4 linked regions of the Diceros bicornis minor genome follow. The protein of the gene in region 3 purifies or fractionates together with the protein of the main gene of each other region. This does not show direct contact. Links are inferred from orthologs where the notes say so. Each region holds a gene or a part of one and is shown on either strand. Other genes may lie near its edges. The genes, in order: CDK5RAP2, VAPA, PRKACA and A-kinase anchor protein 2.

Region 1 (7,904 bases), on a different chromosome or scaffold from region 3:
AGCTCCATAAAATCCTCCCAGAATCCTCTCAGATTGGCTCAGAAAACTAGTCGGAAAGCAGGCCAAGGTACTGAGAGCCAGGCTCTGTAATCAGTAGGCCTGGATTTAAATCCTGGCTCGATCAAATAATTTTCATGAGATCCCAGACTGTTCACTTCACCTCTATGAGCCTCAGTGTGTCCTCACCTGTAGAAAGGGGATAATATTGTCACCTCAAAGGATCGTTGTTTATTCGGTGATTTAACAAATAGTTACTGAGCCCTATTGTAAGCCAGATACCAGGTTAGGAACTAGGGTACCAAAGAAGATCAAAATGCAGCCCCTGCTCTCAAATGGGTCGTCGTCTAAAGTGGGACACAGACAAGTTAACGATGCATTGTCCAATCCAGGAGCCACCAGCCCACGTACCCACTGAGCACCTGAAATGTGGTTAATCCAAACTGAGAAGTGCTGTAGGTATAAAATACACACCAGACCCCAAAGACTTCGTAAGATTAAGGAGAATGTAAATATCTCATTAATAATTTCTGTTGTTTTTTACAAGTTAGAATGATAATCTATGGAAATATTTGGTTAAATAAAATATATTAAAATTAATTTCACCTGTTTTTACTTTTTAATGTGGCTACTAGAAATTTTTAAATTACATATGTGGTTCAAGTTATATATCTACTGGACAGTGCTAGTGTCAATAAAATCCAGGGCTGAGACAGGGTCAGTGATAAATGGGATGACTAGAAGACTACAGACGGCCCAGGTGGGGTGAGGGAATGTCAGCGAAGGCTTCCAGGCAGTGCCACCTAAATTGAGACCTGAAAAATAACAGGCATTAATAAGGCAAAGGGAGAAGGGAGGGCAATCCAGGCAGCAGAAACATGAGTGCCAGGGCCCCACAATATGAAAGAATAAGGCAAGATCGTTCATTACAAAGAGTCTGGCAGCCAAGCAGAGTGAAGGGCTTGGGGAGGAGACAAGGAAGGGCAGAGGAGGCTAGTGAAGTAGATGGGGCCAGAGTATGAAGGACCTTGGAAGCCGTATTAAAGAACTTCACCCTGAGGGTGGCGAGTGGCCAGGGAGGGTCTGAAGGAGGTGAGTAAAAGATTAGTTACCAGGAATGTATGCAGCACCTGGGTCCTGCAAAGGCAGAGAGAGGAGGGTAGGCAGAATATGTGATGATCTGTGGAGTTGCTACTCTGGGCCAGACACCGGGCTAAACTCTTTTAGACTCACTCATTTTACAGATGATTTTGAGGCTCACAGAGGGTGAGTGACTTGCCCAAGGCCACAGTGTTAAATGGCAGAATCGGGATTGAAACCCAGCTAGGTCTGGGTCCCAAAGCCCCAGTGCTTGGCCAACCGGCACCAAGATGAGAAAAGCTGCCTGAGAGAACGACAGTGGACTTTTATCTTAATGGCAAAGAGCAGCATTACACATATAAAGCAGCAGACTGTGACAACCAGATTTACATTTTAAAAAGAGTTTTCAAGCTATAGTATAAAAGACTATTAGGGGTGTGAGGGAAGCCAGGACAATCAAGGTGAGAGGTCATACCCCAATATATCGGGGCATCGTAGTGAGATGAAGAGAAAGAGACATGATGAACTAACACAGGTCCAATTTAGGCAGGAGCTGCAAAGGGCCTTGCTCTGTGCCTGATACACAGTAGATACACAATAAACAGACTAACCACTTGTCCAGATAGGACTTGTTTACGCCTGCCATCCAGGCATGAATATTAATTGTGCTCATTTCACTCTTACAAGTGTATCGGTTTGCACAACAAATACATGGTCATCCTTTTAATTAGCGTCTGTTGACTGAAAGAAGCAGCCCGTCTCTAGCACAGCTGGATAAACACTGCAGATTCTCAGTTAAGGCTTTCCTCCATGTCCTTCTGAGCACTCAACCGGGAGCCAGGACAACAAAGGGCCCCAGCCCTGGGGCAGTGCAGGGCTCTGTCAGGCCTTCCTACCAGAAGAGACCCCTGCCCCACCAGCAATGTGGACTCCAAATGCCTCTTGGGACAGGTCCATTGGGAGGCCACTCTCAGCCATTATTCCCCAATTTGTATTACTATTGATGATGATGATGGCAACACAGAATCATTTTTTTAAGCACTGACTACGTGCCAGGCATTACACTTGCCAAGTGAATTGCTGGGCAGGCATCTTCTCTTCTAATCCTCATCCCACCTCTGTTGGGTGGATACTACTACTAGCTCCATTTTACAGATGGGAAAGCAGGGTAAGAGACTTTAAGGTCACAGAGCTAGTTAGTTTCAAGGGCTGGATTTAAATCCAATTCTGTTCAACTCCAGCCAAGGTTCTTAACCACTGCACTCCACTGCCTGAGTTTTGGTGGCCACTATGTGACCCCATAAGCAAAGTCTAGACAGACCAACTACACTCCCCATAATGAATGCAAACCCCCAAACCAGAATAAACCATCAAGTACCCTCCAGGTCCCCGCCCCTCAACCAGATCCCACCGATGGCACACTGCAAAAGGCCCCCCTCCTCCCGCTCGTTCAGACAACCCCTTACCTGTCCCTCACACCCTCTTCAAAGTATGTCCCGAAATACGAGAAAGGTGGGTGTGGTGCAGGTCCGGACCCTCAGCCCCCTACACTCAGTATCAGCTGGTGGGTCCCGAAAGAGACGCCTCGCCCCCAGAAACCCACCCCACACACTGTCCCTGTCCGGAAACCCTCAAACACCTTCGAGAGCAGACCCCAAGTCTCCGTTGGAGCGAACCCCTCGATCAGCGGGAACCCGGGCCCGGTTACCGCGAACCCCCAAAGCCCGGGCCGCACCTGCAGCCGCTGAGCGTTCCGGGGAGGGTGACGTCCTCTTCCAACACTGAGTCCATCCTGGACACGGAGGAGGTGGTGGCGTTGGTGTCTATGGCGGCGGCAGCACTAGTTCCCCCACGATGTAGCGACCCGCCTGGCTCCCCAGGTCCCGCCCCCTCCAACCCAGCTCTTGTTCGGACTGTGGCGGCACCGCTGGAATTCAAACCGCAGCCGCCGCCATCTTTCCCGGCGCTTCTTCCTACGGAAACGGGGCGGGGTCACCGCGGCGCGCGCGGTGAAGCCGGCCGGCCGAGGCCAGAAGCCGGGCAGGGAAGCGCGGGCGGGCGCCATCTTAACTAAGGGCAGAGCATCCGACCTGGGGCCCGCAACACTAAGGAAAGAGAGCCCGGCTGCCATTTTTTGTGAGGGCACTGAGGCCGGGGCCAGGGCAGACGCCATCTTTGTTGAGGGCCAAGGCAGGCCTTGGTCCGTTAATTTAAGCGGGAGATGGGAATCCAGGCCCTCATGGACCTTCAGAGTTCTTATCCTGGTGTATGCTTTCCTAGAATAATGACCCAAACCTTAGGGTCTGTGCATTCAAAAGGCTTCCACTTTGAGTTGAACCTCAGATAATCGGGTGCTGCCTCGCTTTAGAAAAATCTTACCTGCAGAATCCCAGCTCAAGCAGTAATTTGCACACTTAGCTTGAAACGAATAAATTCATCCCTATGAGCCAAGTGGTCACCGACACTCCCTCTCCAATCTCTCACCTAGTGATCCTTTATTACCTTTAAAGCTCAGACGCACCTGAGATCAGTAAACTGAGGCCCAGAGAGAGGAAATGACTCTCCCAAAGTCATGCACAGTAAGTCTGTGGACTGGAGCCAGATCCCCGGCTCCTGCCAACCACATCAGGGCTCTCTGCATAACCCTGACTGCCTTTCTTAAAGCACAAAGCAATCACCAACACCTAGATAATTTTGGCAGCTTGGCCAATGAAATGAACCTTCATCTCCCCATCTCAGTGTTACTACCTTCCTCTGCAGGCTGTCCGGAGAGTTCTGGATGAAAATAACTTGAAAAAATGGGTGATTGGGTAGATGATGACTTTCCTTGTAACCACGTACAACACCTCCCTCATCCTCAGTTTCCTCATTCTTCAATTTAAGTGTTACTTTCCAAAAGAAGCCTTCTCTAATCTTCTAATCTAAATCAGACCCTTTCTTGTATTCTTAGCAACCTGTATTTTTCCTTTGTGGCACTTACCACATTTTGCAATTATATATTTTTGTGTTTTTTTTAATGTCTCCTCTTGCACTAGACTGGAAGCTCCATGAGGGCAGAGACTGTGTTCTGAATTGTTTACTGCTATATTCCTAACACCTAGCACTGTGCCTGCCACCCAATCAGTGTTTAAAAATATACGTTGAGGGGCCAGCCTCGTGGTGTAGTGGTTAAGGTCAGGCGCTCCGCTTCGGTGCCTGGAGGTTTGCTGGTCTGGATCCCAGGCACAGACCTACGCACTGCTCATCAAGCCATGCTTAGGCAATGTCCCATGCAGAAGAGCTACAACTCTACAACTATGATATACAACTATGTACTGGGGCTTTGGGGAGAAAAACAGAAAAAGAGAAAGATTGGCAACAGATGTTAGCACAGGGCCAATCTTCCTCAAAAAAAAAAATATATATATATATATATGTTGAATGAATGATTCAGTCAATCTGGAAAATGAAAAATAATACCTATCCTGCAAGGTTTCTGTGACAATGTGATATCTTTAGTAGCTCAGTCAATAGTCATCCCATATATCCTGTTCTCTCTCTCTCTGCTTCATTCTCTCTCTCTCTCTCAGCTTTGGTGAAGGCTACAAGGCTCTTGATCCTGTGCCCGTTCCTCTTCCTTCCCCGGATATTCAGTCACCTCCAGAATCAGCAATAAAATAACAGCCTGAAAGAGAGAGTGGGCAGGAAACAGTTGGCACACCAGATGCCCTGCCCCAGGGAAGGGCAGTCCTCGAAGCCCGGGAACCAACAGTCCTTGCCAGTGCTAAGTTCAACCAATGAGATGGGTGTGTCCAAAAGCAGGGAAGCTGGGGTGTCAGGATTCCAGCCCTGGTTCTGCCACTGACTCTGCAATCTTTGGCACACCACTCCTCTTCTCTGAGCCTCAGTTTCTACACCTATGAAATAAGAGGGTTGGGCTGGTTGGATGTCTCAGGACCTCACAGCTCTGGAGGTGATTTCTTTGTGTTTATTTCAAGGTTATTAATGCACGACCAACCATTTTCTGGTGAGGGAGACTGAGTTACAAATCGTTACTTCCCAAATGAAGGAACTAACTTTTCATCCAGCACGTGAAAGCTCTTCAGAAAGGAAATAAGGAGGAGGACTTACACATTTTGGGCATCTCTTATGTGCCACTTGTGCCAGGCATATCACATACACCACCACATTTAACCCTAACAACAACCCTCGGGAGTAGGTGCTACTGTTCTCCCCATTTTACTTACAGATGAGAAGACTGAGGCTGAAAGAGGTGAAAATAACATGCTCAAGGTTTCACTGTTGGTAAGTGGCAGAGCTGGGATTTGAGCCTAGGTCCCACCGAACTCAAACACTCTAATTGTTTTAGGCAGCCTGTCTTCTCTATCTGTTTGGTTTCCTCCACTTTAGAATTCAGGGTCAAGAGGTGAGGTCTACATCCAGACAACAGTATTTCAGGGATGTGTTCACCAGACTCTACTCCTTGGACAACTGCTTCAAGGTGGCCATGAGGTGAATGTTAGTGTGGAGAGTAGGACTGCAGGATGGGAAGTCTGGGCACCTGGATTCTGACTCTGGAAAATCTTCCATCTTATCCTGTGACCTGAGGTCCCTTCCCCTCGCTCCTCCTTGGTTTTCCCATGTGTGAAATGGGACAGACAATGCTGAGCTCACACAGTTGCATTATCTAATTAGATACTTTGGAAACTGTAAAGAAGAAAGAGCCTTGGAGGAGTTCTGCTTATGATTAATCCATTGCCTGATTCAGCAAATGACCACGTTCCAGAATTGTGTGCTAACCCTTTAATGAACCTAGAAACTTAAAATAGAATCAGTTGCACAAAGGATAGGCTATTTGGGAAGTTGTTTTTCCTGTTTTCATGGTCAAGGATGAAGGCCTTTGCCCCGTCTCTGTCTCGCCATGGCCTTTCTTTCTGCCAAGCCTGGAAGTGACGTCACTACTACCAGCTGTTTGGGCTATCTGGCACCATCTCCTTGACAACAGCCACCCAGTCACAAAGCTGGCATTATTATTCCTTGGGTAAGGTCATCTCAAATGGCTGGGAGGAAGTAGCTTGCAGCCAGATGTTTCTCATGAGGGTAGAACCCTCCTGAAGTTTTAGCAGCTCAAGACACATGAGCTGCCATTATTAACAGCAAGAATAACTTACAGGATCAATACAGATACATTGCTACTTTGCACTATTTCATTTTATCCTCACTACACTCTGAAGTAGATTAGGATGATTGCCCTGCTCTACAGATGAAGAAACTAAGGTTCAGAGAGGGGAAGAGATTTGCCAAAGGCCACACTGTCTTCCTTTCTTTCCTCACTTTTCATTTAGAAATAATTCAGACAGAAAAAAATTGCAAAAATAATGCAAAGAATTCCCCATATAGCCTTCACCCAGCTTGCTAAAATAGTAACATCTTACATAACCATAGCACAATTGTCAAAAATAAGAAATTATATTACAATAGTACTTACTACAGACCTTCTTGAAACCTAATCATTTTTCCCATTAATGCCCTTTTTTCAGCCCAGGATCCAATCTGAGATTCCACGTTGCATTTAGTTGTTATGTCTTCTTACTCCCCTTCAATCTGCGACAGCTCCTTTGTCTATGTCTTTCATGACATTAACACTTTCTAAAAGTTCTTGCCAGTTATTTGATAGACTGTTCCTCAATTTGGGTTCATGTGCTGTTTGCTCATGATTAAATTGAGGTTATGCACTTGAGCAAGAATACCACAAAACTGATGTTGTGCCCTTCTCAGGGTATCAGGAGGAAGATGATGTTAATATGTCTCATTAATTAGTGATGTTAACTCTGATCTCTTGGCTAAGGTGGAGTCTGCCAAGATTCTCCATGGTAAAATTACTTTTTTTTTTTTTTTTTGTGAGAAAGATCAGCCCTGAGCTAACATCCATGCCAATCCTCCTCTTTTTGCTGAGGAAGACTGGCCCTGGGCTAACATCTGTGCCTATCTTCCTCCACCTTATATGGGACGCCGCCACAGCATTGCCTGACAAGCATTGCATCGGTGCGCGCCCGGGATCCAAACCCTGGGCCGCCAGCAGCAGAGCGCATGCACTTAACCGCTAAGCCACAGGGCCTGCCCCCCAAAATTACTGCTTTTTTATGATTAAAAAGAGTCTTGGGCAGCGATACTTAAGACTATGTAAATATCCTTTTTGTCATCAAATTTTCGCCCACTGATTTTAGCACCCATTAATAATTCTTACGCAAAACAATTATTACTGTGGTATTTGCCAATTGGTGATTTCCTATTTTCATCATTTCATCTATATTTATTAACTGGAATTCTACTATAAGGAAGAACTTTCTCTTCTTGCCCATTTCTTCCATTGTTTATTTAAATCAGCATGGATTTGTGGATATTTGCTTTATTTTATGAGTTATAACCTATCACTATCATTATTTACTTTGTTACACACATTATCCTAGATTTGGCCAAGCTGCCCATCTAATACATAGATGTGCCAAGATTCAAACCCGAGTCTGTCTGATCCCAAGGTCAGCAGTATTTCTAGCACATCCCTTGTGCTACCCTGCCCCTTTCTCTCAAGAACTCTTCCCAGCCAGCCTTCGCTATCAGCAGCCCTTGTCCAATTCCCAGTTAGTACCCACTGTCTGCTCCATAGCATGCTGTGTTACCAAGCTAGTGATGCCTTCTAGGCCCAACATCTAGCTCCGGGCTGTGCCCATAGTAGGTGCTCAATGACAGTTTGTCAAATTAACTCCAAGTCCTGACATCTTCTCAAGGTGGGAAGAGGAATGAGAAATACTCCACACCAAGGAAACAGGATGTAGATGATTGAGCTA
Region 2 (7,717 bases), on a different chromosome or scaffold from region 3:
TTAACAGGCTTTTACTTAAACTAAAAATTACAGGTGATTTAGGGGAAGTCAGAATTAAATGACTTTTTACACCACCATCAAACTAAGCATAAGGAGATTGTTGATTCTATATGAGTCTCCTCATTTTAGTGTTGAACTGTGCACTGGAATACAGAAAGGTTTCCATCAAAGCAAACTATCTTGAACTAAAAGAATAACATTAAGGAGGAAGGAAGCAAATGACTCCAAATGTCACCTCCTAACTCATCCTACCCCTCCTCTTTTCCAGTCCTCCCCATTACCCCACCTTTAAATAGAAGTACACAGCAACCCACTGGGTATTTAAGGAGAAACCATACATTCTCTCACATCAGTGGTTACTAAGTACACAACCACTCCCTGGCCAAACCCTCTCCCCTCCCCAACTGAAAAGGAGCCTCTTCCCAGAAAGCTTCCTAAAGTAAAGGGGAGGGGGTTGGCAGGAGGAATGAGGAGGAAAAGGACTCTTTCCTTATACTCGGTTTGCCTCTGTTATAGCATCTAGATGCCTTTTCTGTCTCCCTCACTAGTCTCGGAGTTCTTCAAGGGCAAAGATAAAACCTAACACATTTTACTCCTGTTTAATTGTATGCTTTCCCCATTAAATCACAAATTGTGAATCTTTTCTCCACCTTGTTTACCACTGAATCCCAATATAAGCTGATACCTGTTGAATGAATTATTCATTGCTGAATACTCTTCATCAAATATAGGGATGGCACAAAGCTAAAGTATTCGCTAAATAAATGGCCCAAGTGAATGTGTCCCCCTAGGAACTTTTCAACGAAACACTTTTTTAAAGTCAATTTAAAAAGGTGGTCATTGATGTCCAAACTTTTAAAAATGTGCCTTGTGAATTACTTTCACCCATAATACAAGAACCTATTCTATAATCATAGTTAATTTTTCAATACCTAAAATAGGTGAAATATATGGATATGTCATTGGGTAGGGTTTTGGGTTGTTTTTTTAACCTGCTTCTCCGCTATTATTAGTCTTTTACTACAGCAACATTACAACTTCTCTAGGGAGAAAGCTTCAAACTCTGTGGACATTTCCTGGCCTAAAACTGGTTTTAAAGGCTTCTAAGTCCCAGATAATGGTTATCCAGTAGTGGAAATTTCCTCTGTAAAACAGCCTGTCAAAAAGTAAAAGCAAAGTACTTAAATTCTCAAAAGAACACATATACCATAAAGGTTTACATTAAATTCCTCAAACCTAAGATAATAGCTAAGTTAGGTAATTTCATGATTCCCCAAAGGTGTATTTTTTTCTTTCAGCTAAAATTATGTAAAATCATGCCACACACATAAACTTGCCACACTAAAATGCTCTTAATGCCTCTCAAACTATTTCTTAGGGTTGTCTTAAAACTAAATCCTTACCTAACAAACAGCTCATTTACAATGCCACTCAAAGAAATCTGCAAATGCAGTAAAAAGCTTTCAAAATAAAGGAGCTATAAAATACACTCATAATACCAGAAAATACTATTTTAAAATTTCTAAAACTATTACCTTTTCCTATGGAAAACAATCTAAGTGTTTTTCTTTTGGATTCAGTCTTGTACAACAATAAAGGATTTATTTTGTTTTAAGCACTGGAATGGCTACACAGTTCACAAAGTGTTCTCATCATAGCTACCCAAATTGAAATACAAGATACTGAATCTTCCAAACGGCGACTCACTTTATGCTTAACTGAAGACACGGAGAAATCTGCTTTCTATTTAGGATCTTCACGCACTTTAAGTATTCGTAAACAGAAACCTGCTCAGTTTAACTCTCTTGCCTAAACTACCCTACATACCGAAAACAAATGGGCCAAACAGCCCCTTAGATTCCTCAAGGCTCACCAAGTCAGACTATTAATTTACCACGGGCATTGCTACAAAGTAAATCGACGGCGTCCCAGAGCTGAGTGACAACTATCAGCCTTCTCCGGGGCTTATTGGGAAACCTCAAACGTAAAGGCAGAAATCACCAACAGTGAAGATTCCGCAGCAAAAAAGCAAAGCGACAAGGGGCGAAACAAGGGTCGACGAATAGCAGCTCTGGCCTAGGCGGAAAGTGAGCTGAACTGTGCCATCAGAGGCCCAGGAAGCCGTCTACTAGTGACCTACCACAAACCCTCGGCTGCCGCGAGCTGCCCCGCCGCACGCGGGTCTCTGCCCGCACGCCCGGCTAGGCCAGAACCGGAGGACCTCCCGGCTCCCCGCCTCCCGCGCTCACGGACCCGACAGCCAAGTTAGCAACTGGAGAAAAGGTGGGAGCAGCGCTCTGCGCGGGCGGGGGCCGGAGGGCCCTCTCTCGGAACCGAGTCCGGGACGGCGAACCACGGCACTCGCGCCCCCCCGAGCCCCTCCCCGCCGAGCAGAGCGCCAGGCCTCGGTCACCGCCCACCACGCCCGCCGGGACGCCGCCCGCCGCCCGGGCCAAGGACAAGCGCCGGCGCGGGCAGCGCGGCAGCACCGGGAGGCGCCCGCGGGCCCGCAAGATGGCGGCGGCGGGCTGGGCCCCCGGCTCCCCGGGCACCGAGGCGGCACCGGGCGGCACCGAGGGAGGGAGGGGGGAAGCGGGCCGGGCCCGGGGACGCCGCCGCGAGCCGAGGTGCGGGCGTGGGGGAGGGGCCGCGGCCCGGCGCCGAGCTCCCGCACGCTCCCCCGGGGCTGCCCTCTGCCTGCCTACCTTTGAATTTGAGGTCTGTGGGCGGGTCGAGGACCAGGATCTGCTCGTGCTTCGCCATGGCCCCGGAGGCGGACGCCATTGGAGACAGCGCAGAGCGGGGGCGCGCCCGCGGCGGCGGTTTGGGCTGGGGGTGGGGGACAGCGGCGCCGGCTCGGCCGAGGTCTGCGAGGGGCCAGCTCACGGCTCCCGAACCCTGACGCCCGCCGCTCTCTCGCGGGGCGCCGGGCCGCCCGCTGGGTCCGCAGCTCCGGGTCTCACAACTGACTCAACCCCACACCAGCCGCCGCGGCCACGCGCACTGCGATCCTCGGCGCCCCACGTGACGGCCTCTGCGTGCCTACGTGCGCGCCCCGGCGCCGGGGCCGCTTGCGCTCGGCCCGCCCAGCGTGGCGCGGGCTGGTGCGCCTGCGCGCTTTCGGCCTGGCCGCCGCTCGGAGCGCGGCGCAGCTGTCAAGGGATCGGGTGGGGACAGGGGAGGGACTGAGCTCCGTGGGGCCCACGCGGTGCGCGCTTCGTGGCAGGAGGGCGCAATCCTCGGTCACGTTTAGATTGGATTAGGAAACTGGAGAACCCGCTATGGGCAGTGCATTACGATCTTCCGAGCGGGAATGCCTGATAGAAGGAAGGCGTGGCTGGGCTCCTTCACTACAACTCCCAGCATGCTCCGTGCGCGCCCGGCCCGTGTGCGGCCCTGCGCGATGGCTGCCGGGAGCGGTGTTAGTGGCTGTCGGCGGGCGGGAAGGCGGACGGGTCCGTGGGAGCGAATGGGATCTGCGCCAGGCGAATGGGGTGGGCGCGCCGACACTCCCTTGGGCGCTCAGAGCGTCTCTTCTGCGCTAAAAAAGAAAAACAAAAAGTTTCGGAGACTGACCCGAGGTCCCTGGTTAGAAATATAAAATATACCCTGTGGAAAACATGCCAGGATTTGTCAGTTTGCTCTCCAATTCTATCCATCCCTCTGATGGTGGAGCTAAATTCTCCGTCGTATTCCAGTCCAACCTCGCCTGCTTCCTGAATCTCTCCAGTGATGCAAAAGCACATGAGGAAACACCTTGTTTAAGAAGCAGATGCGTCGTTGGGGAAATCTGACAAGACACGTATCAAGCTAGAAATAAAAATCAAAATCTACAGCCTTCAGTTGCTAGGGTCTATTCTTCAGTTTTGATTAAGAATAGACCCAAACCAAAACAGTTGTCACATTCACATGTTGAAAATGGGTTCCATCTGCATCATTTACGGTAGCCTGTAGTAAACTGAACCAAATGAGAAAAATCCCATGAGCAAAGTTGCTGACAAATCTGTAACCGATTGCCAGGGTAATCAGGGACAGAAAGATCAAATAACACGAGTGAATGTGCTGTAAATAAACCTTTATAGCACTCCTTGAATTTATATCCCTAGGAAGCACCACAAAACAAAGGACATATTGATGCTGCTGCGACGAATAAGCAGCCCAGTTTGTCGAGAAAATAAATGAAACAAATGGAACAATAGTCTAGGTTTAGGCACAAAGTCCAAGTTTTCATGTGCAATGCAGGTTCAGAGCCCATCTGGGTATAGCTCTTCGGAATAGCTAACGTAGCATTCACAGAAGATTGTGCTAGGCAAGAGCAGTGTATCTTCAGCCATGAAAACCTTGGAGGATGGGAGTGCTTAAACAGTCTGAAAAGCGTGTTCTAAATTTACCATTCCTTTGATTTCTTTTTATTCACAAAATTTATTTTGAAAATTCAATGATCAATAAAAGGAGAATGCAAAAATTGCATGTTTGTCAAGAGGGGGCTTAAGGTTAAAAAAAATTTTTTCTTGCAGGGGCAGCCCAGTGGCATGGTTAAACTCACAATGCTCGGCTTCTGTGGCTCAGGTTCCAGACGTTGGGATCCCAGGAGCAGACCTACACCACTGGCCAGCCATGCTGTGGAGATGTCCCACATACAAAATAGAGAAAGATGGGCACAGATGCTAGCCCGGGGCCAATCTTCCTCAGCAAAAAAAAAAAAAAAAAAAAATTTGAGGTTGACAATCACTCCACAGGATGGTGTCCCACATATGTTTAGTTGTGAACTGACAACCCTAGAGCGGTCACAAACTCCAGGTTTTTTTGCTTGCCTAAGAGCTCTTATCCACGGGCAAGTTTGCCTTGGCTGAACTGTCTCCTCCACAGCTAGATGGACACTTCTCTTACCAGAAAGCATTTGGCAGTCCCCAGTGTGCAAACAGCCAGTTAGTGGTATAGCATGCTGAGGAAGTTCCCAGTCACTCCCCTATGGGACAATGGCTGCCCATTCACCATGAGTTCAATGGGAAGCCTGAACTGGATGTAGAATTCCAGTTTCCCAGTCTGTATCATTGAGAAACCTCTGCCCATTTGAGTCATCACCTTTGGAATCAAATTTTTGTCTTCTCAATATTGCTTTGAAAATTATATAGATATAGGCTTAAAATCTGTAAGATTTTAAATATCTGGTAGTCTAAGAATACACAAAACATCTTTCGAATAATGCCCCTATTACAATTTTAAAGTGTTGCCTTAATAATGACTCAGAGTCCTCCTGACTCCTCTACTCCCCATTGAATAGTGGACTATTTAAGTGGTTTGTGCTTTGGTACTTATTAATACCTTTCTTCTAGCAGTTCAAAGAACTTTACAAACATCATCACATGCTACTCAGAACAACCTTATAACAGTTAGCAAGTGTTACTTTTGTTGTTAAATATGGAAATGAAAACACAGGTGAAAGCATGTCATGTCAGTAATAGAGCTAAATGTGGTGGAGAGGAGTTGCCCAATTTTCCGTTCTTTGCATTTTTGCTCTTCCCAAAACTACAATAAAATGATAACTGAAAGTGATTAAGGCAGCTATTTAAAATGTAATTGACTTATCTATGCTTAACATTTAAGCTAGGAATGGAGAAACGTGGGACCTAATGTTCACTGTTTACTCTTTTCACATTGATTAATGCAGCACATAAAGGTCTCTTAAGCTATTAGCAAAAAATATATACTTAACCATATTTCTCCAGCTACCAAGTTTTCATGAGTCTAAGAGGTATGAAGGCCTTGAATATTACTTTAACCTACTTGAATAACTAACAGTATTCATCTTTGGACAGGTTATCTCTAATGGGTTTGGCAAGGATCAAAAAAAAATTTGCCAGTACAAATGGCAACAAAGTATAACCATCTCCTCCATAGTTAAACATATTAACTACAGAGGTGCTCTGTATGTAATTATGAATTTGTTTATGATCAATTCTCTGCATAATTCAATTCAGTAAACATTTAAATGAGCATACTTTTATTAAATATTGAGGCAGTAAAGCATATTGAGTAAGAGTATAGGCTTTGGATCTGAACCATTGGATTCATGTCCCATTTTCCACTGTGTGGTCTTAGCATCTTACTTTACCTCTCCGTGTCTATCTGTAAATTGGGGAGAATAATTGTATGTACCTCTAAAGTTTGTTCTGAGAATTAAATGAGAATACACACAAAGAGTTTAGAATGGTGACTGGTTCTAGTACTATTACCTTATTAACGTTAAATGTTAAATTATCGCTGTGCACCCGGCACTGTGGTAGGTGATGTAGTGGTGAGACAATAGACGTGGTCTCTGCCTTTAGAGACTTACATTCAAGTAGGAAAAACAAACGTGAAATAGCTCCTTTGCAGCTATGATTCTGCTCTTGAAATAAGTTTGACCAGTGAGTTACACTCATGTGATATTGGAAAGTTAGAAGTGAGTTGGAAGGCAGCTTTCTGCCCCTTCTGGCTGTTTTTCTGCTGAGGCAAGAGCACAGAGACGTGAGGCTTTCTGCAGCAGCGTTCCAGCGCCCATTGACTAGCTTCCTGGATATCAAGAGGCAGGGAATTGTTGCAGGGTCAGCAGAAGCAGTGGCTTTTTCTTGAGTCCAGCTTCCTGATCCCTAGGGTTAGAAGTAAAGTGCGGCCTCGGAGGCAGCAGCTGCTGGGTGGAGCAGTTCAGTCTTGCCCTGGGAGTCCCTTCCTGGAGAGCCAAGTCTCGAGTCTGCTCCTCTACCTCTCCTCAAAATTTTATAAACACCTAATCCCCTTTATTATGTTGCTTCCTGCTCGTGATATTAGAATGCTGCAGAGAGTGAGGTGTCAGGAAAGCTAAGAGTGGATCAAGAAGGTCAATGGTGTAGACATCTATAAGGCAAGGACTGGAAACCATTCACCTGACAGAGTAACAGGGTGCTAGGGGTAAAACGTGGATGAAACAGGGTCACTGCACACAAAGAGCTCTTCCTAACACAGATAGCTATGAGAGAGAGGGATAATCAAGTGAAATATGTATTGGGTCAGGAAGTATCACAGGGATGCAATGCTTGGTAAATGTGGATGTGTTGCTGGTGCTTACTGTAGAGCATTTGTCAGACTATGTAAGAAATATAGATTCCAGGAGAAGGCAGAGGGAAGCTTCACCAGATAAAGTCAAGGCTGGAAGAAGAAGAGTTAGAAAAAAGACTTATCCTGGGGATTTTTGTCCGTATGACCGTTTAAAGCAGTTAAAACTATAAATAATCTTTGTGGGCCGGTCCCGCGGCTTAGCGGTTAAGTGCGCGCGCTCTGCTACTGGCAGCCCGGCTTCGGATCCTGGGCGCGCACCGACGCACTGCTTCTCCGGCCATGCTGAGGCCTCGTCCCACATGCAGCAACTAGAAGGATGTGCAACTACGACATACAACTACCTACTGGGGCTTTGGGGGAAAAGATAAATAAATAAATAAAATTATAAAAAATAATAATAATCTTTGTTTATGAAAAATAATTTGAAGTGTTTTCTCTTCTATTAAGCTTTTATATCGTAAAATTAATATGTGCTTATTGTAACCAGTGACACAATCCAAAGGCCTGTGAATAAAAAGTTTCCTCCTATGCCTCACAATTTCCACTCCACTTAGAGTAACCAGTGTTAACTGGCTATGTTGTGTATCACTCCCCAACTTTATCCATACTTGTAAGAACATAGGTAGTTGTTTTTTGGGTT
Region 3 (7,539 bases):
CTCTCGGGGCCACTGCCCTCTGTCAATTCCTCCAGTTTGCTCAGAGCCCGGGCTTGGTCTTTTTTTCTCTACCCTCTTAGCATCTTACCCGGGCCCCTGCCAATGGCTTTGGCATCTTTGGGTACAGATTTCCCCCTTCTCAACCCCAGCGCTTGTTCTAGATCCCCACCCTCTCAGGAGGGGGCCGACGCTGTCCTGCCCTGGCTCCGAGACGGCAGCACAGGGGGCTGCAGAATGCCTAACTGGTGCCTAGTAAGGCTTGGGCATTTTCCTTACCCCAGTAGGGCTGGCGTCTGGGAGATGAAATTCAGGTGCCCCCTGCAGGCTGGCCTAGCTACTGCCCGTGCCCCCAGCCCGGCCCCAGTTCCGAGGGCAAATTTTGTAACTCCATCCTTAGAAAATCAGCGCTTTGAAGCAAAGAAGGGCTTCCTTCCTCATCCTATTTCCTCCTCTGAGAGCCCCTGCAAGACTCTGGAAGGAAGTACAGTTTAGGGCATTTCCCGAAGGGTGATATGGGTCCCACTGGCAAGGCAGGAAATGATTTTAGGTATGTTTAATTTTTCTAGTTACGTTGTATTTTAATGTGTATCAGAAAAAATATAGCGGGCACAGCAAGCTCATGATTTCATTTATATTACTGCTTAGGACAGATCAAAGTTTACATCTGGACAAAAGTGAGTCAAAGTTTTCATTTTAAATTAAGAAAACATAAGTGAGTAAAGTAAAAATCAGGGAGGAGGTGGCTTGAGAATGTCTGGGCTGGGAAATTCTGGGGTCCAGGAAGTTGGCTGGTGGGCAGATCTGGATGTGAATCCTGCCTCTGTGACATCATCTATGTCAAACTCAGCTCGTTTGGAAAATTCTGGTAACAGGCCGTTATGGAAATCACTGGAGCAGACAGATCTATGGAGCCCATTTAGCCTGGCACATCCTAGATAAATGGGCTCTATTGCATCGTGATGCTCCATTCCTGGGTGTCCGGCCTGCGCTCTGAGAGAATTAGCGGTTCCTTCCAGAGCCTCTGATCTTTTTCTTGGGGATCCTTTTCCCTGTGCGGCTTTCCACCCCCCCGACCACATGTGTCTGATACGCCTTGAAAGTTTTCCAGAACTATGTCATCTCCCCAACTTTCAACTGAGCCACTGCAATATACAGCTGCCTGCCTCTACCTTCCACCTCCCAGCCGGCCTCACCTGCTGGGGGCCCAGCCCCTCCCCCCAGCCTAGTCCCCTCCAAGCTCATGCTGAGACCTTTTTTGGTCACTACCCACCTGCTCCTCTGTCATCAAGCACTCAGCTACAGGCACTGGCCTCCCCGGCCCCCGCCTATCGGTGACATATCAGGCCTCCCCATGCCTGCCTGGCGACTCTGAGGTTTGCCATTTGAATCTGTATGGGAATAAAGTCCCCTGGCTTTCATGCCCAGGTCTTTCTGGGAGGGAGCATTCAGGACACTCAGATCCTGGGGTCTGAGACCAGCAACTGGGAAGAGAGTTTTTGGACGTGGCTTCCTTGCTGGCTCTGACTTTCTGAGTAACGGGAAGGGGATCCTAGCTTAGGTCCAGCTTTAGGCCTGGCGTGATGACAATTTAAGAGCTGGAGGAACTGAGGAAGGGGCTCCAGGCCATTTCTGAAGGCATTTCCAGACACAGAATCTCTTTCTCTGGCTGGCTGGAAAAGGCCAACATAATTTGGGGGCTGAGGCGGAAACAGGCCTCTCTCTGGCTGAGCTCTGGGAGTGATCAGAATCTATCTGTCCCCTGGCAAAGCAACCCATTAGATGTCACCCACTGCTGTCCCCGACTGCCACCCCAAGTCCCCCGGTTCACCATCCCAGCTCAAGCTGAATAAGTCTGGCAAAACACACTCTTCATCTCCCACTTTTCATCCCGGACGAGGAGCGGCTGAAGAAGCCCGGGGGACTGGGTGAATGACGGAGCCTCAGTTGTGAAACAACCATGTACTGAGGGGCCTCCAAGGATCCTAGAGCTCACTGCACAGCAGGAGATGGGAAGGGGCTCTGCTGCCGCCCCCCACCCCACTCCAGCAAGGAGGACGCAATGAATCCCAGCAAGATCGGCTCAAACTTGGCTTTGGAAGAACTGATGCGGTTCTCTACGTTCATAAACAGTCTGCTACCCCAGCCAGGGACAGACGCTTGCTTGGAGAAGGGAGCACAAGCAGAGAAGCAGAGTGACAGGATGAGAGAGGGGCAGAGGGACCCAGAAAGATCCTGTCCCCCATGCCAAGTGACACAGAAGAGAAAAACAATACTGGAGGTGGCTCTGGGAAATGCTCAAGGGGGGCAGAGTGGGTCTGGAGGGGGGCTGTGGTAAGGTGAAGAGGGGAAGGGCAGGAGAAAGATGGCGGGGGCTGGAGGGGGGAGGGGTGTGGTCACCAAGTGGCCAAGGTCCCTGTGGGGTGGAGGCAGACCCCACAGCACTCCCAGACTGGTAGATGTCTGGGTCGGGGTCTGGCAGTGGGTCCCATCTGTGGGAAAAGTGAGGAAGTGGGGGTTAGAATCTGGGGAGAGGGGCCAGGAAAGGAGAGGGTGGGGTGGTGACAGGCTCCCATGCGAGGCCCCAGCGGTCATACGTGCCATGGTTGGCAGTGACAGCTGGGTGGGGGGGCACAGTCTTTGCAGTGGGGGGCGGCCTTCGGCAAAGGGGCTCCTACGGGAGTCTTCTGGGGGCCCTGGGCCCCAATCTTGGACAGGCAGGAGGAAGGAGCGCTGGGGGGTAAGCGGAGAGAGATGGGGGGGCGCGTGGGGGGAGGGGCCAGGCGGTGATGGACAGGGTGGGGGCTGGCAGCGCGGGGCCAGGATCGGGGTCACGGCCCGGGTACTCACCGCTCTCCTGCTCGCTGCCCTTCTTGGCGGCGGCGGCGTTGCCCATCGCGGCGGCGGCGGCCGGGACCGGTCCCGGAGCTGCGGCGCGGCGGGTGCTGGCGGCGGCCGGCGGCCCCGGAGCGCGCTGGGCGGCAGCGGCGGCGGCGGCCGCTCGCGTTGGCTGCGCTGGCTGCGGCGCCGCGACCCCCGCCCAGCCCCTGCTGCCCGCGTCCCTCCGCGCCCGCCCGCCCGGGAACCTCAGCCCAAGTCCGCTGCTGCTGTCCGTGACGCCCCCGCAGCCCGCCGATCATTGGTCCAGGCCGCCCTGACTGACGGCGCCGCGCCCCCGCCCATTGGCTCTCCGCGACCCTCCCGCGCCGCCATAGGCTCTCGGTCCCATGACGCGCGCCGCGGACGCCCGGCCACTCGCGCGCTCGCGAGGCCTCAGCTGGGCGGGCCGACGCGCCTGATTGGCTGAGGTGCCCGACAGGACCCAGGGCCCGCCCAGCGAGGCCGCCAATTGGCGGAGGCGCCCAGTCCGGCAAGCCCCTGGCAGAACGTTCAGTGTCAATCCCGGGGTGAGAGGGCGGGGCGGACGCGCAGCCTGCTGCCCAGGCCGCGGGCGGGGCGGCCGAGGCTGGCTGGCGGGCGGCCGCGCGGCGCTCCGAGGCCGAGTGGGCGGTCCCGGCGGGCGCCCGCCCCGTGCGCGCCGCAGTCCCCCGCCCCCGCCCAGTGCGGCAGCGGCCGCCGGCCAGCCAAGGTTGGCGCCGCGGCCCCCCCACCCCCCGGCGCAGCCACTGTCCACCTGCCAGCGGGGGAGGGGCGCGGCCGGCGCCGCGGGTCAGAGGTCGCCGGGCCGTCGGCCGTCGTCATTGATAAGGCCTGGCGCAGGAGGGCAGCGGCAGGCCCGGGGTTCAGGCTGGGGTTGGGGGTGGTTCCTGGGGCTCCCCCAGCCGCAGCCCGAGCTTCAGGAGGATGCTGGGCCCCGGGAGCAAGGGGGCTTGGGAGGGGGCGCTCAGTGTCCCTCCCTGTGCTGGGCGCCCACCCTGGGCTCAGGCCAGCAGTAAGAGCTGGCGCTCGTTTGGTAATTCGCACCACACTCCTGTCCCGCAGGTACTGGTATCATCACTCCTGTTTTACAGATGAAGAACGTGGGGCTCAGTCAGGCTGAGGATACTCTCCATCCGCGCAAAGCAGAGGGAACTACCTCCCCCCCAAGCAGAGACGTAGCAAGATGCCCCTTCCTTCAGGATACCCTGTTAATACACACACAGCCTGAGGACGTCGGCTCCACCGCCGCACTACTGACATTTGCGGCCGGATCAGTCTTTGCTGGGGGGCTGTCTTGTGCATTGTAGGGTGTTGAGCAGCATCCGGTCCCTCTACCCACTCAACCCCTGTAGAACCTCCCTCTCGTCCACCAGGCACCAGTTGTGACAACTCAAACCATCTCAAGACATAGTTTAAGGTGCCCTGGGGGCAAAACTGCCCTCAGTAGAGAACCACTGAAGTAGACAAGGGCCCAAACAGGAGGTGCTGAGAGGGGCAGGGGACGGGATGAGCCAGCTCTCCCTGACTCGGAGGGGCTATCCGGGCTCAGCTCTGCAAGCTGATTCCCTGCTCTGCCTATAGACTTACAACCCGAACCCTTCCCAGAAGCTGTCCGAACCCACCTTCCTAGGCTCGCCAGTCTCAGGGAGGGAAGAGTGGGGCTCCTCTGTAAATTATGGGGAAATGGGTCACCAGCCAAACCACTCCCACTTGGGCTGTGGGGTTACAAAGGTGAAGTAAAACGTAATAAGAGTGTTGCTGTCTGTCCTTGGAGCACAGATGTTAATTCCCTCCTGGGGGTCAAGGTCAAAGTCTGGAAAGTCACGGGTTATGCTCTATCTACAGAACAGCTGGGTTGCTTAGGTTTTGACAAAGAAAAACCCCACCCCGGAACCTCAGTCTGGAATACAACTATCCAACCAAGTAAGACTCGAGTAAGAAGCTGAGCTTGGGGATGGGGCAGTCAACTCACTGGCTGGGGCAGGAGGCCCCCGACGTCAGGAGGAGAGGTAGACAAGGCTGTCTCAGCCCACCCAAGACAGAAGCAGAAACAATCAGCCTAGATCAAATGCTTTTTATTTTTAGACCAACCAAACATATTTAATATAAAAACCCTTTAATGTACAAACTGCAACCACAACAACATCCACATAGCAGCAAGGGGGTGGGGCGCGGCAGGGAGCCTGGTGGGGGTGGGGGACTTCAGGGGCCCTGGTGCTTCCCCTGCCCGTAGTCACTCTGTGGCCTGTGGGGTCTTAGCAGAGGGCAGAGCAAGGCCCCCAAAGGGGCCCTGATGCTGACACTGAGACAGACCAGCAGAGAAGGCCCCTCTAACATGCCATCTCCCCACAGTGGCAGCCTCCAGGGAAAGCCAGATCCAGTTAGGAGGTAACAGGAAGGTAGCTGTCACTGAGAAAATCAGCCATCATTCCTCAGCATCTTGCTGATCACACTTTTGCGAACAGAGTTTTCCAGGGGCTGTTGGATTGACAAGACCTAAAAATTGTTCCAGGAGGACAGAAACTGTGTCCGAGTCTACCTTCAAACCACGATTCCTTGCCCGTGACTCCAGAAAGCTGGGTGTATTCTGCTTGGTAGTTTGGGAAGGGAGATGAATGACAGAGCCTTTGGCCCAACAGGGCCAGAGCCTTGCCAGGCATTGACCAAGGAAGCCTCAAAGCAGGCCAGGGAGGCCTGTGGGAAGAGCTCTGGGTCAATGGTACTCCCGGGCGCACGGGGGCACAATGACCCGCAGGTGGAACTGACAGTGCCTGTGGAAGAGGGAAGGGACAGTCAGAAAGAACTAAGAACTGAAGCACCTGTTTCTGCAGGCCTGGGCAGGAGAGGTGAGATGATCCTTCTGGGCCAGGGCTGGGAGACGTGAGGCCTGTTCCTTCCTCGGGGCCAAGTTTAACCGGCCTGGATGTAGCTGACGGCCCCCAAGTCTTCCACATGGCCCCCAGGGGACTCTCTGGGAGGCCCCGCTGCCCCTTCCAGATGTGCCAGGAGACTGGCCTAGATCCCCAGTTAGATGCAGTCCATGGAGTTCTCGGGGAGGAGGCCGGGGATGCAGCCAGGGAGACCCAAGCCCTTGACAGGAGTGCAGCTGAGGGGGAGGCCGCAGCCCAGGGTGGGGTCCTCCAGCCTGTCCGTGTTGTCCCAGTTGATGTGGAAGCGGGTCACCCGGGGGTTTGAGGCCAAGATGTTCCGCTGGAGCTGGGCGGAAAAAGGAACGTCAACCCTGGTCAGCATGCCCTCTCATCACTCCTGCGGAGCCAGGGCACCCCTGCCCCGCTCCCCCAGGACAAGCAGAGCTGGCTTATCCCACCACCACCACAGCTGTGTGTGCCACTCCCGGGGATGCCCACCCCACAGTCTAGGGCCACCTATCTAATCTTGATTCTGCAAGGTGTGCTTCTGAGAAACCAAGACCTTTCTCTCTCCCGTTCTAGCCTGGCGCTGCAAGATCTGAGCACTACTTGAAAGCCTTAAGAAGTGACCTTGGCTCCAAGTTTCAATGACTCAACCCCCAGCAGTGCAAAGGTGGTGCGGTGCAGAGCCGGTCCCACCTGAGAAAAGTCCGGCTTCGGGGGCGGGTTCTCCCGCAGCTCGGGGTTGGGGTACTCGTTGTTAACGTAGTAGCCCACGCGGATGAACTCCTGGCCATGGTAGGTGCAGGTGATGAGGACCACAGTCACCCCCACGGCGTCGGTCTCAGGGATGAGGGACGGGTTGGGGGCGTCGGCCTAGGGGAAACACATCCTGGGTCTTAGCATCCATCGCCGCAGTCACACCTCCTCAGCAATACAATGCTTCTCAAGCAACACATGTCCACTGAGCCCAAAGCATGGTCTCTGCCTTTGGGAGTTTTCCATCGAGTGGGGAAGACAGAATCAATTGTGTAAATGCCTGTGAAATGCTGAACGTGATGGGTGCCACACAGAAGTAAATGGGGCTGGGGAGGAGTGTAGTGAGCAAGGTGTAGTGAGGAGTGTAGTGAGTGTAGTGGGGAGGGTGGCATACGATGAGGCTGAACAGGTGGGCAGGTGGCACCAGGCCACCAAGGGCCTGGTGGGCCAGTTAAGGGCTGGGAGAGAAAAAGCAAGAACATTCAGCAAGAGGTGAGTGCTGCATCACTCAGACCGCAGTGGCCTGCGGAGCCGAGATGGGAGCAAGGGGGGACTGTGGCCTGGACCGGGCAGCAGAGGAGACAGAGGTGGCCAGATTCCAGGGTGTTGTCACGGACAGGACCGGCTATGGAACTGGTGCAAAATGAGACCCATACAAAATGAAAACATGGGCCCTGTGTTCAAAAAGTAGTCCACTTCCGTCAGCGACAGCAGAACATGACCCCACGCATGGGCCCTGTGTGACCGCGTGGACCCCATGCCCGGGGAGCTGCCCTGGTGGGGGAGTGGAGTAGACGGGCTGGCTGGTGGATGGGATACAGGGGGTGAAGAGTCAGCTGTGAGGACAAGGTTGCTTAGATTGGGCTGGGAGCAGCAGAGATACAGTGAGGGGGTGGATTTGAGCGGAGGCTCTCAAACTTTAGTGCACGCTAAGTCTGCATTTCTGACAGCCCCTGCGATGCTGGATGAGAGCGTCTTTTAGCAGCTATGGCAGATCCTCATTATTCAGGGATTCCATATTGGTGGTAATATT
Region 4 (7,561 bases), on a different chromosome or scaffold from region 3:
ATAAACTACTGGTTTGTTTTTTCTATTAGGTAGTTGGTAATTTTCTTATTGATTTGTAAGAACTCTTTGCATATTAGAGATAGTAACCCATTGTTATATATGTTGCCAATATTTCCCCCAGCTTGTTTCTTTTCTTAGATTTTCAGTGGGGACTCTGGTCCCATGGGGATGCCCTTGGGATTGGGAACTGTTCCTAATTTTCCAATGACCTCACTTAGTGCTTGGTGGGAAAGCCCCACAGATCTAGGGCTTTTGATTTGATGTGGGCTAGCCTTTTTTTTTTTTTTTTGTGAGGAAGATCAGCCCTGAGCTAACATGCATGCTAATCCTCCTCTTTTTGCTGAGGAAGACCGGCTCTGAGCTAACATCTATTGCCAATCCTCCTCCTTTTTTTCCCCAAAGCCCCAGTAGATAGTTGTATGTCATAGTTGCACATCCTTCTAGTTGCTGTATGTGGGACGCGGCCTCAGCATGGCCAGAGAAGCGGTGCTTCGGTGCGTGCCCGGGATCCAAACCCGGGCCACCAGTAGCGGAGCTCCCACTTAACCAGTAAGCCACGGGGCCGGCCCCAATGCAAATTTTATTTTGTTTATTTATTTTTTTGTGAGGAAGATCAGCCCTGAGCTAACATCCGTGCCCATCTTCTTCCACTTTATGGGGGACACCACCAAGCATGGCCTGACAAGCGGTGCATCGGTGTGCACCCGGGATCCGAACCTGGGCCGCCAGTAGCGGAGCGCGCACACTTAACCGCTATGCCACGGGGCCGGCCTGGGCTAGCCTTTTAGTGTTGATTTTGTTTGCTTTTCCCTCTTATTCTTTTTTTTTCCCTAGCAAACCTTTATTTTCTGTGGGACACATTTAGCGCTTGAGGATTACACCCCGCTGATGCTCTTTGGTCTTTCTCCTTGCTAGAAGGAGGCAATGGCAAATTCTCTTTTATGATGGGCCAATCTTGGCCCCTCCTTTGGGTTTTCAGATCAGCTCTCTGAGCCACTCATGGGTGTTTTTTTCAGCTTCTACTCTAAGCTTGGGGGCATGTGGCTACTGCTAAGCCATTAGTTGCTGGATTTGGTTCGTTTCGCTCAGTTTGGGGAGAGAGAAAGAAGAGGCTTTGTCAATCTGTTTCTAGGCTGACTCCTTTCCCAGAAACTTAACTTTCACTCTTGGTGTTTCTCTAGTAAGTACGTTCTATTTCTTAAGTGCCCCGGAGGCCACTCTTACTCAGGGGCATGGTTTAGAGTGGACCAGCAGCCCAGCAGAGGCCACAGGAGCAAAAATGTACACTTAGGCCATAGTGAAAGAGATTCTGATCTCCTCCCCTGCCAAGCAAAATTTCCGTAGAAGGTCCTGTGTCCTAGGTGGGGTAGGGCCTTTGGGAGCATTTACCATTTACACATCCTGGCTATGTTCTTGTTCACAAAATTAGTAGCCTTTTATTTGCTTCAAATGTGCTTCTGAAGTGCATCTAGGAGACTAAATGTGCTTCTTTCATAAAATATTCTCAGCTCTAATAACCATGATCATGTTAAGAGACATACGACGTGATGACCCCGTAAACATGCATTGGGTAAAGCCAGCCTTTCCCATCTCCTGTGTTTCTCACACTTCCATATTCTTAAGAATCACCTAGAGCTGTGAAAACAATTTCCCTAGCCCTGCCCCGAGAGATCCTGACTTAGTAGGTAAAAGTGGAGCAGGAATCTGCATTTTTAATAAGCACAGAGGTGGTTCTGACATCTATAGTCCTTAGTACTGGCTTTGAGTCCAGGGCAAGATAACTTGACCTCAGCACTACTGACATGTGGGACAAGATAATCCTTTGTTGCTGGAGGGTGTCCTGTACACTTTAGGATGTTTAGCAACATCTCTGGCCTATATCCATTAGATGCCAGTAACACCCCCTCCCATTATGACAATTAAAAAATTCTCCAGACATTGCCAAAATGTCCGAGGGGGGGCGGGGCGGAGGGGAGGACTGTCAAATCACCCTCGATTGAGAACTACTGACCTGAGGGAAAATAAATGAGAAAATGTTAATTAAAAACAGTTTTTACTTTCACATGCAGATGCTCATACTCCTGCATTGTTTTCATTGAACAAATTAAACAGGGGCTGGCCAGGTGGTATAGCTGTTAAGTTCCCGGGCTCTGCTTCGGCGGCCCAGGGTTTGCAGGTTCGGATCCTGGGCGGGGACGGACGCACTACTTGTCAAGCCATGCTGTGGCAGGAGTCCCACATATAAAGTAGAGGAGGATGGGCAGGGATGTTAGCCCAGGGCCAATCTTTCTCAGCAAAAAGAGGAGGATTGGCAACAGATGTTAGCTCAGGGCTGATCTTCCTCACAATAAATAAATAAATAAATAAATAAATATTTCTCAGCACCTGGTATGTACCAAGGCTTTTATATTAAAAATGTTTTCTTTAATCATAGCTATCTCTTTAATATCTTATAAGATGGAAGAAAGGGAAATGTTCTTGTAAATTAATATCTATTGAACACGCATTTTTCCTAAATTAATATTCTCGGTAGTTTTCTGTGGGGTAAACCAGAACTTTAAAATTAATATGACCAGAAAATTAATATTAACTAATTAATATTAAAATAATATTAAATTAATGTTAATATTTACATTGACATTGCTTTAGGAAAGAAGTAATTCAGAATTGTCAGTGTAAATTGCTGTGCTCTTTCTAATAATGAAATTTGATTTGTAAACTTTACACTTATTCTAATTTAGGAACATATGAAGAAAGAGGATGATGTACCTGCCATAACGTGATTTATAAAATCTCACCTTTGCCGTAATTTTAGAATCTTTCCTTGGAGAGACTATGGTCCATATAAATAAATGTGTGTACCCAGATGTGCTGATTTCAATGTGAGGTTTTCACATGATAGTAAAATGTTAAAAATAGATCATGATGTAGGGCACCCAAATATTTAACTCCTTAAGTCTGTCACATGAGAAGAAAGAAAGAGAGAGAGGGAGGGAGCGAGGGAGGGCGGGAAGAAGGAAGGAGGAAGGAAGGAAAACAGGAAAGGAATTGATTGAAATCTCCGGCCACTGGTCAGTAAATTCTATTGAAATTCAGGAGTGTGGGAGACAAACATACAAAAAAGCTGGTGAAACAGTTCCTAAATACCAAGAAAAAGAAGCCTATTGACATTCGGGAACCCTGAGGAGAACAGCTGATGTCTCTGTTGAAGCCTTTATCCCTGCCTTGAGTAAAGGTGTGACTAAATCTCAGGGTGGGAAAGAAGCCTTTTCTTGGCAGGGTACTATTTTTCATGTGTCACTAGCATGGACAGGCTTTCTGGGCAATTCCCGAAGATATTGTTTCTTCGTATTGGAAATCAAGGACTTTTGTGGATTAGGAAACAACCAGATCCTGGCAGTTGTCTTTCCCTGCTGCGTTTGGAATACAGAATTGACTCTCAGAAGAGGACCCAGGACCTTGGCCAGCGGTTCAGAATAAGGGACTCGGACGTGCAAAGCTGGAGAGAGAGAATCGCTGCGAAAAGGAAAACACTGATCATGCCTAGCGGAAAGTTGAATTCAAGAAATCTGACTTGTTATTTTCCTTTGCAGAGAAAGATTTTACTTGCTTAAACTGCTGTTTTCTGTGTGGGGTGCTTCTGTGTGTGTCCTCTCTCAGGATTTCTAGACAGTCCATTTTCGAAGGGTCATTAACATTATTTAAATATTCATGGTGGGGGAGGGAATTACAGACTGAAATTTCAGACAGCTGGGGAGTGAGGGATGGCTGGCCACCCGCGTAATCGAGGCCCACGCGGTGTATCCGCTGCCTCCTTCCCCACCGCTGGCTTTGTTAACACACGCGCTTTGACACCAGGCCAACGGCTGCTACAACGGAGAGGCTCTGAAGGCTCTGGCGAGCCAGTGAGCCGGAAGCATCCCTGTCCACACCTCAGCCTCTGGACTACATCAGGGTGGGGCACAAAACACACGGAGACCCCGTCCCTGTCACCAAGACGCACCTCCCAACCGCTCCCAGCGGTCCTACTTACCCCGGGACAGTCGTGATGCTGCGTAGGGGATGAGGGACTCACTCCCCCCTCGGGTAGGAATTCAGCAGCTCCTGGCGCTGTGAGCGCACACACGCATCCACACACTTCCACATACATTCATATGCACGTATGTATACACCAACACACACGTCCACATGCACGCACGCCGACACGCCCACCGTGCGCTAACACAATCCCACATACCCAGACACTAGAGCCCTCTCCCAGTTAGGAAATACTCGGCTTCACTTGCCCGGTGTCTTCAGCCCCCCAACCCCCCATCCCTCCATCCCTCCAGTCTATCCATTCATTTATTTCTTGGTTTCTTGGTTTGTGCATAGATTCCACCCAAACCACAGAGAGGTGTGGATGGTAGGGGAGGGATGTGGAAGCCGAGGGGCGGGCCGCGGGCGCTGGGCGCCAGGAGCGGGGCGGGGAAGGGGCGGACCCCGGGGGCGGGCGGGCGGCGCTCCCAGCCCTCCAGCGGGCCCGGCGGCCGCGGCGCTCGGCAGATGCGCTCGCCCCAGCCCGGGGCTGCCGCACGCTTCTCCCCGGAGTGTCTCGGACGCCCCAGGGAGGAGGCAGTGGCCGCGTCGCGCTGGAGCGGAGCCCGAGGACTGCTCCCACGAGGTCCGGCGCCTAGAGGTGGGTGTCCCAGGCTGGGGCGCGGCGGCCCCAAGCACCACGTCCTCGGGGCCCCCTCCTGGAGCTCAGGCCCCGGGCGTGGGGAAAGGGTGGCCTGGGAGGGACTCGAGATCTGGGGAGCCTTCGGAAGCAGCGCGGACTTTAAAGGGCTTTTATGGTCCTTGCCTAGCGGAGCGAGTGCGGCGAGGGGGCCTAGCTGGAAAGGGCTGTGGCCATGTGGCTCTGAATTCTTAGGTTTGGGGGAGGGCCAAGTCTTTGGCTGCTTTATTCAATACTTACTTATATACGCTTTAAAAAAAATAAACTTAGGAAACCCCCTGCAACACACACACACACACACACACACACACACACACACACACACACACAGAGCTGGGCTGTAGGAAAAGCAGTGGACATCAAACGGCCGTGGCCGCCTCTCCAGAACCGGAGCCGCGGTGGATGGAGCCACCAGTTCCAGCTCGCAAGGTAGGCGCGGGTCCTGCCTCCGTAGATGGCAGCGCTGGAGGCGTTTTGGAAGTCAGGAGCTTTGCAGGGAGACTGAGGCCGGGCAGGGCCGGGTCCCCGACCAGGCGGAGCCTTTTCGGACTGAGGTGCAGAGGTTGAACTCGGGAGATGGTGCAGGAGGAGGGAGCAGCCCCTTCTGCGCGGGGAGGGTGGGGGGTCCGGGTCCGAGTTGAGCCTGGAAATTTGGCCTGAGGCTGGGACCCCAGTTGTTAGGATTTGGCGTTTTACCCCGGGTAAAGCCAGAGGATACGTCTCTTTGGCTCCTTTGTGGGGACACTTTGGGGGGTCGAAGGGGCGGATCGTGGTGGTGAGCGCTGGGCAAACTGTGCCTGTAATCCCAGTGGAGATGGTGCGCCCGCTGGGATAGGAGCGACGAGATACTGGCGGCCCTGAGAAATTCTAGAGAAACGTAGTGGAGGCCAGGGGACTGAATCCGGAGTCCGTGAGAGCCGGGAGCCTGGGAGTCCGCGGAGGGAGGCGGGGCGGGCCGGGGACAGTGGCGCTAGGGGCCGGCTGAGAGCTGAAGGCAAAGGATGGCGCCTGCAGAGGGGAGCGAGACGGCGAGCTGGACCCGCATGAGCCGGCCGGGCAGCCGGGTTCCTGAGCGCCCCTGCACTGATGCGAGATGCCCGCCAGCCCTGGGGATCCCTCCCCAGTCCGCAAAAAGGGGGCGTCTGGGAGGGAGATGACTCGCTTAGAGAGACGGTGGATTCTCTCTCCAGACCCGGTAAAGTCAATTTCCCGCGTTGGGTGATAGTAGTTTGGCTCTGATATGCTGTGTGGTCAGACTTTGACAAATCTGTACCCTTCCCTATAGCAGTTTTAAGTGCAGAGCCATTAATTTGGACAAACTTCCTTTTTTTTCCCCCTCCTAAATGTATTTACCTTTGAAAAGAGACTAACACGCACGTACACACACGCACACACACACACCTCTATACATCTCTCTATAGAGTATATCTTTGAGTCTGCCAACACCTTAATTTCTCAGAGGAAGCGCCTTTCGGTCTTAACGCACGTTCACAGGCACCTGGAGGCCGAATCAGAACAAACCCACCACTCACGGTTGTAATCCCAGAGGATTTGTTCCCTTGGCTTTGTTCTAATTAAAGAGAGTTCACTTCAGCATGGCACTTTTCTTCCTGGAAATGTTCCCAATTTCATTAAACACTCTCTCTTTCTCCCAGTCTGGCAGCCTCCCCAACATTGATCAATAAAATTTCAGAGTAACATGTCTAGAAAGGAGGTCTATCCAGTAAGGAGTTTACTCTGTTTCTTTACACATAAAGCCTTTTAAGAATTAAAACTTGCCTTAAAGCACCTTCTACACGGCTGTCCACTGCCAGCTCTCTCCTCCCCAGTTTTGGCACAGGCTCTTTGCTTAAAGGGCATCTTCTCCTTTGAGTGGACATACCATGGGTCTTGTGGGCCCTACAGTTATTTTGAGCTGCACCGATAAGATTAGTCATAAGCCAGGAAAAACGAAAATAATCCTGCTTGGATCTCCCTGGCCCTTACCTAGCAGACGGTGCAGTTGTCTTGAGTCGTTTCTCTGGCAGTGGAGTTCATTTCAGTTTCTTTCTGGGGTGCTGAGGTGCTAGCACGAGATGGATGGCTGGGCTTTGAGATGGTACAAACAATTTGAAATACCCGTTATTTCATAGTTCTGGCATGACGGTTGGCACTGCTCCTGCCTGCAGAGTTTAGGGTAGTGTTGTCAGAATTTATTTCACTTTCATAAGTGGCTCATTCTGACTCATTAGCCTCAGGAACTCTGACTAATAAAGTGAAGCAGGTTGCCTTTACTTAGTTATCAAGTGAGGGGAAGATGATCCACTGGTTGTTCTCTTTCTCAAATTTTCAATATTTTAGTATAGAATTAATATATTAAATGTTACTTTTTAAAAATGCAAACGCTGGACTTTCTAGTTAATTTTTATAATTATTGTCTAGATACCATCCTTATAGATTTGGAGGACTCTTAAAGCACCCATGTCCCAGATTTCTACCACGGTTGTCGTTACAAGTCTCATTAAGTTGTCATTACTTATTAGGGTAATGAGAAATGTTTCAAATAAAGATGAAATTGAATTCGGATGGAGGTCGTGTTAAGGGATTTTAATAATTGAAACAGGAGCATTTGAAAATTTACTGCTGAAAACCAGGAAGTGGTCAGTTCCATCCTTTAATCTTACACATTTCTCAACACGAGTAGAATTGATCTATCTTGAATTAGCTTCTGGATTGGCTGTTCTTTGATCTTGAGAAACATAGGAGTCCCCATTTGCTTAGATTATTGATCAGGGATCCTGTGCCAGCCACTGGAAATTTGGAGTAATTGATTAATATACTTATCAGGTTCAACAATTTTGCTAG

The links.
Region 1: the proteins of PRKACA (region 3) and CDK5RAP2 purify together in Homo sapiens (affinity purification with mass spectrometry; 6 studies listed by BioGRID and IntAct, with this or other methods). This does not show direct contact. The link is inferred for Diceros bicornis minor from reciprocal best matches to the Homo sapiens genes PRKACA and CDK5RAP2.
Region 2: the proteins of PRKACA (region 3) and VAPA purify together in Homo sapiens (affinity purification with mass spectrometry; 4 studies listed by BioGRID and IntAct, with this or other methods). This does not show direct contact. The link is inferred for Diceros bicornis minor from reciprocal best matches to the Homo sapiens genes PRKACA and VAPA.
Region 4: the proteins of PRKACA (region 3) and A-kinase anchor protein 2 purify together in Homo sapiens (affinity purification with mass spectrometry; 5 studies listed by BioGRID and IntAct, with this or other methods). This does not show direct contact. The link is inferred for Diceros bicornis minor from reciprocal best matches to the Homo sapiens genes PRKACA and PALM2AKAP2.

Annotation. Positions count from the first base shown.
Region 1 is NC_080767.1:27,771,787-27,779,690, forward strand, and holds the start of CDK5RAP2 (CDK5 regulatory subunit-associated protein 2), read right to left. Parts: upstream 3,017-7,904; 5' UTR 2,869-3,016; coding exon 2,813-2,868; intron 1-2,812. UniProt on the Homo sapiens protein: Potential regulator of CDK5 activity via its interaction with CDK5R1. Negative regulator of centriole disengagement (licensing) which maintains centriole engagement and cohesion. Involved in regulation of mitotic spindle orientation.
Region 2 is NC_080755.1:7,892,379-7,900,095, reverse strand, and holds the start of VAPA (vesicle-associated membrane protein-associated protein A), read right to left. Parts: upstream 3,003-7,717; 5' UTR 2,785-3,002; coding exon 2,706-2,784; intron 1-2,705. UniProt on the Homo sapiens protein: Endoplasmic reticulum (ER)-anchored protein that mediates the formation of contact sites between the ER and endosomes via interaction with FFAT motif-containing proteins such as STARD3 or WDR44.
Region 3 is NC_080769.1:3,624,085-3,631,623, reverse strand, and holds the start of PRKACA (cAMP-dependent protein kinase catalytic subunit alpha), read right to left. Parts: upstream 3,002-7,539; 5' UTR 2,894-3,001; coding exon 2,848-2,893; intron 1-2,847. Other genes in the region: histone chaperone ASF1B, read right to left, coding at 5,905-6,093, 6,447-6,623.
Region 4 is NC_080767.1:18,858,273-18,865,833, forward strand, and holds the start of A-kinase anchor protein 2, read left to right. Parts: upstream 1-4,556; 5' UTR 4,557-4,678; intron 4,679-7,561. UniProt on the Homo sapiens protein: Binds to regulatory subunit (RII) of protein kinase A. May be involved in establishing polarity in signaling systems or in integrating PKA-RII isoforms with downstream effectors to capture, amplify and focus diffuse, trans-cellular signals carried by cAMP.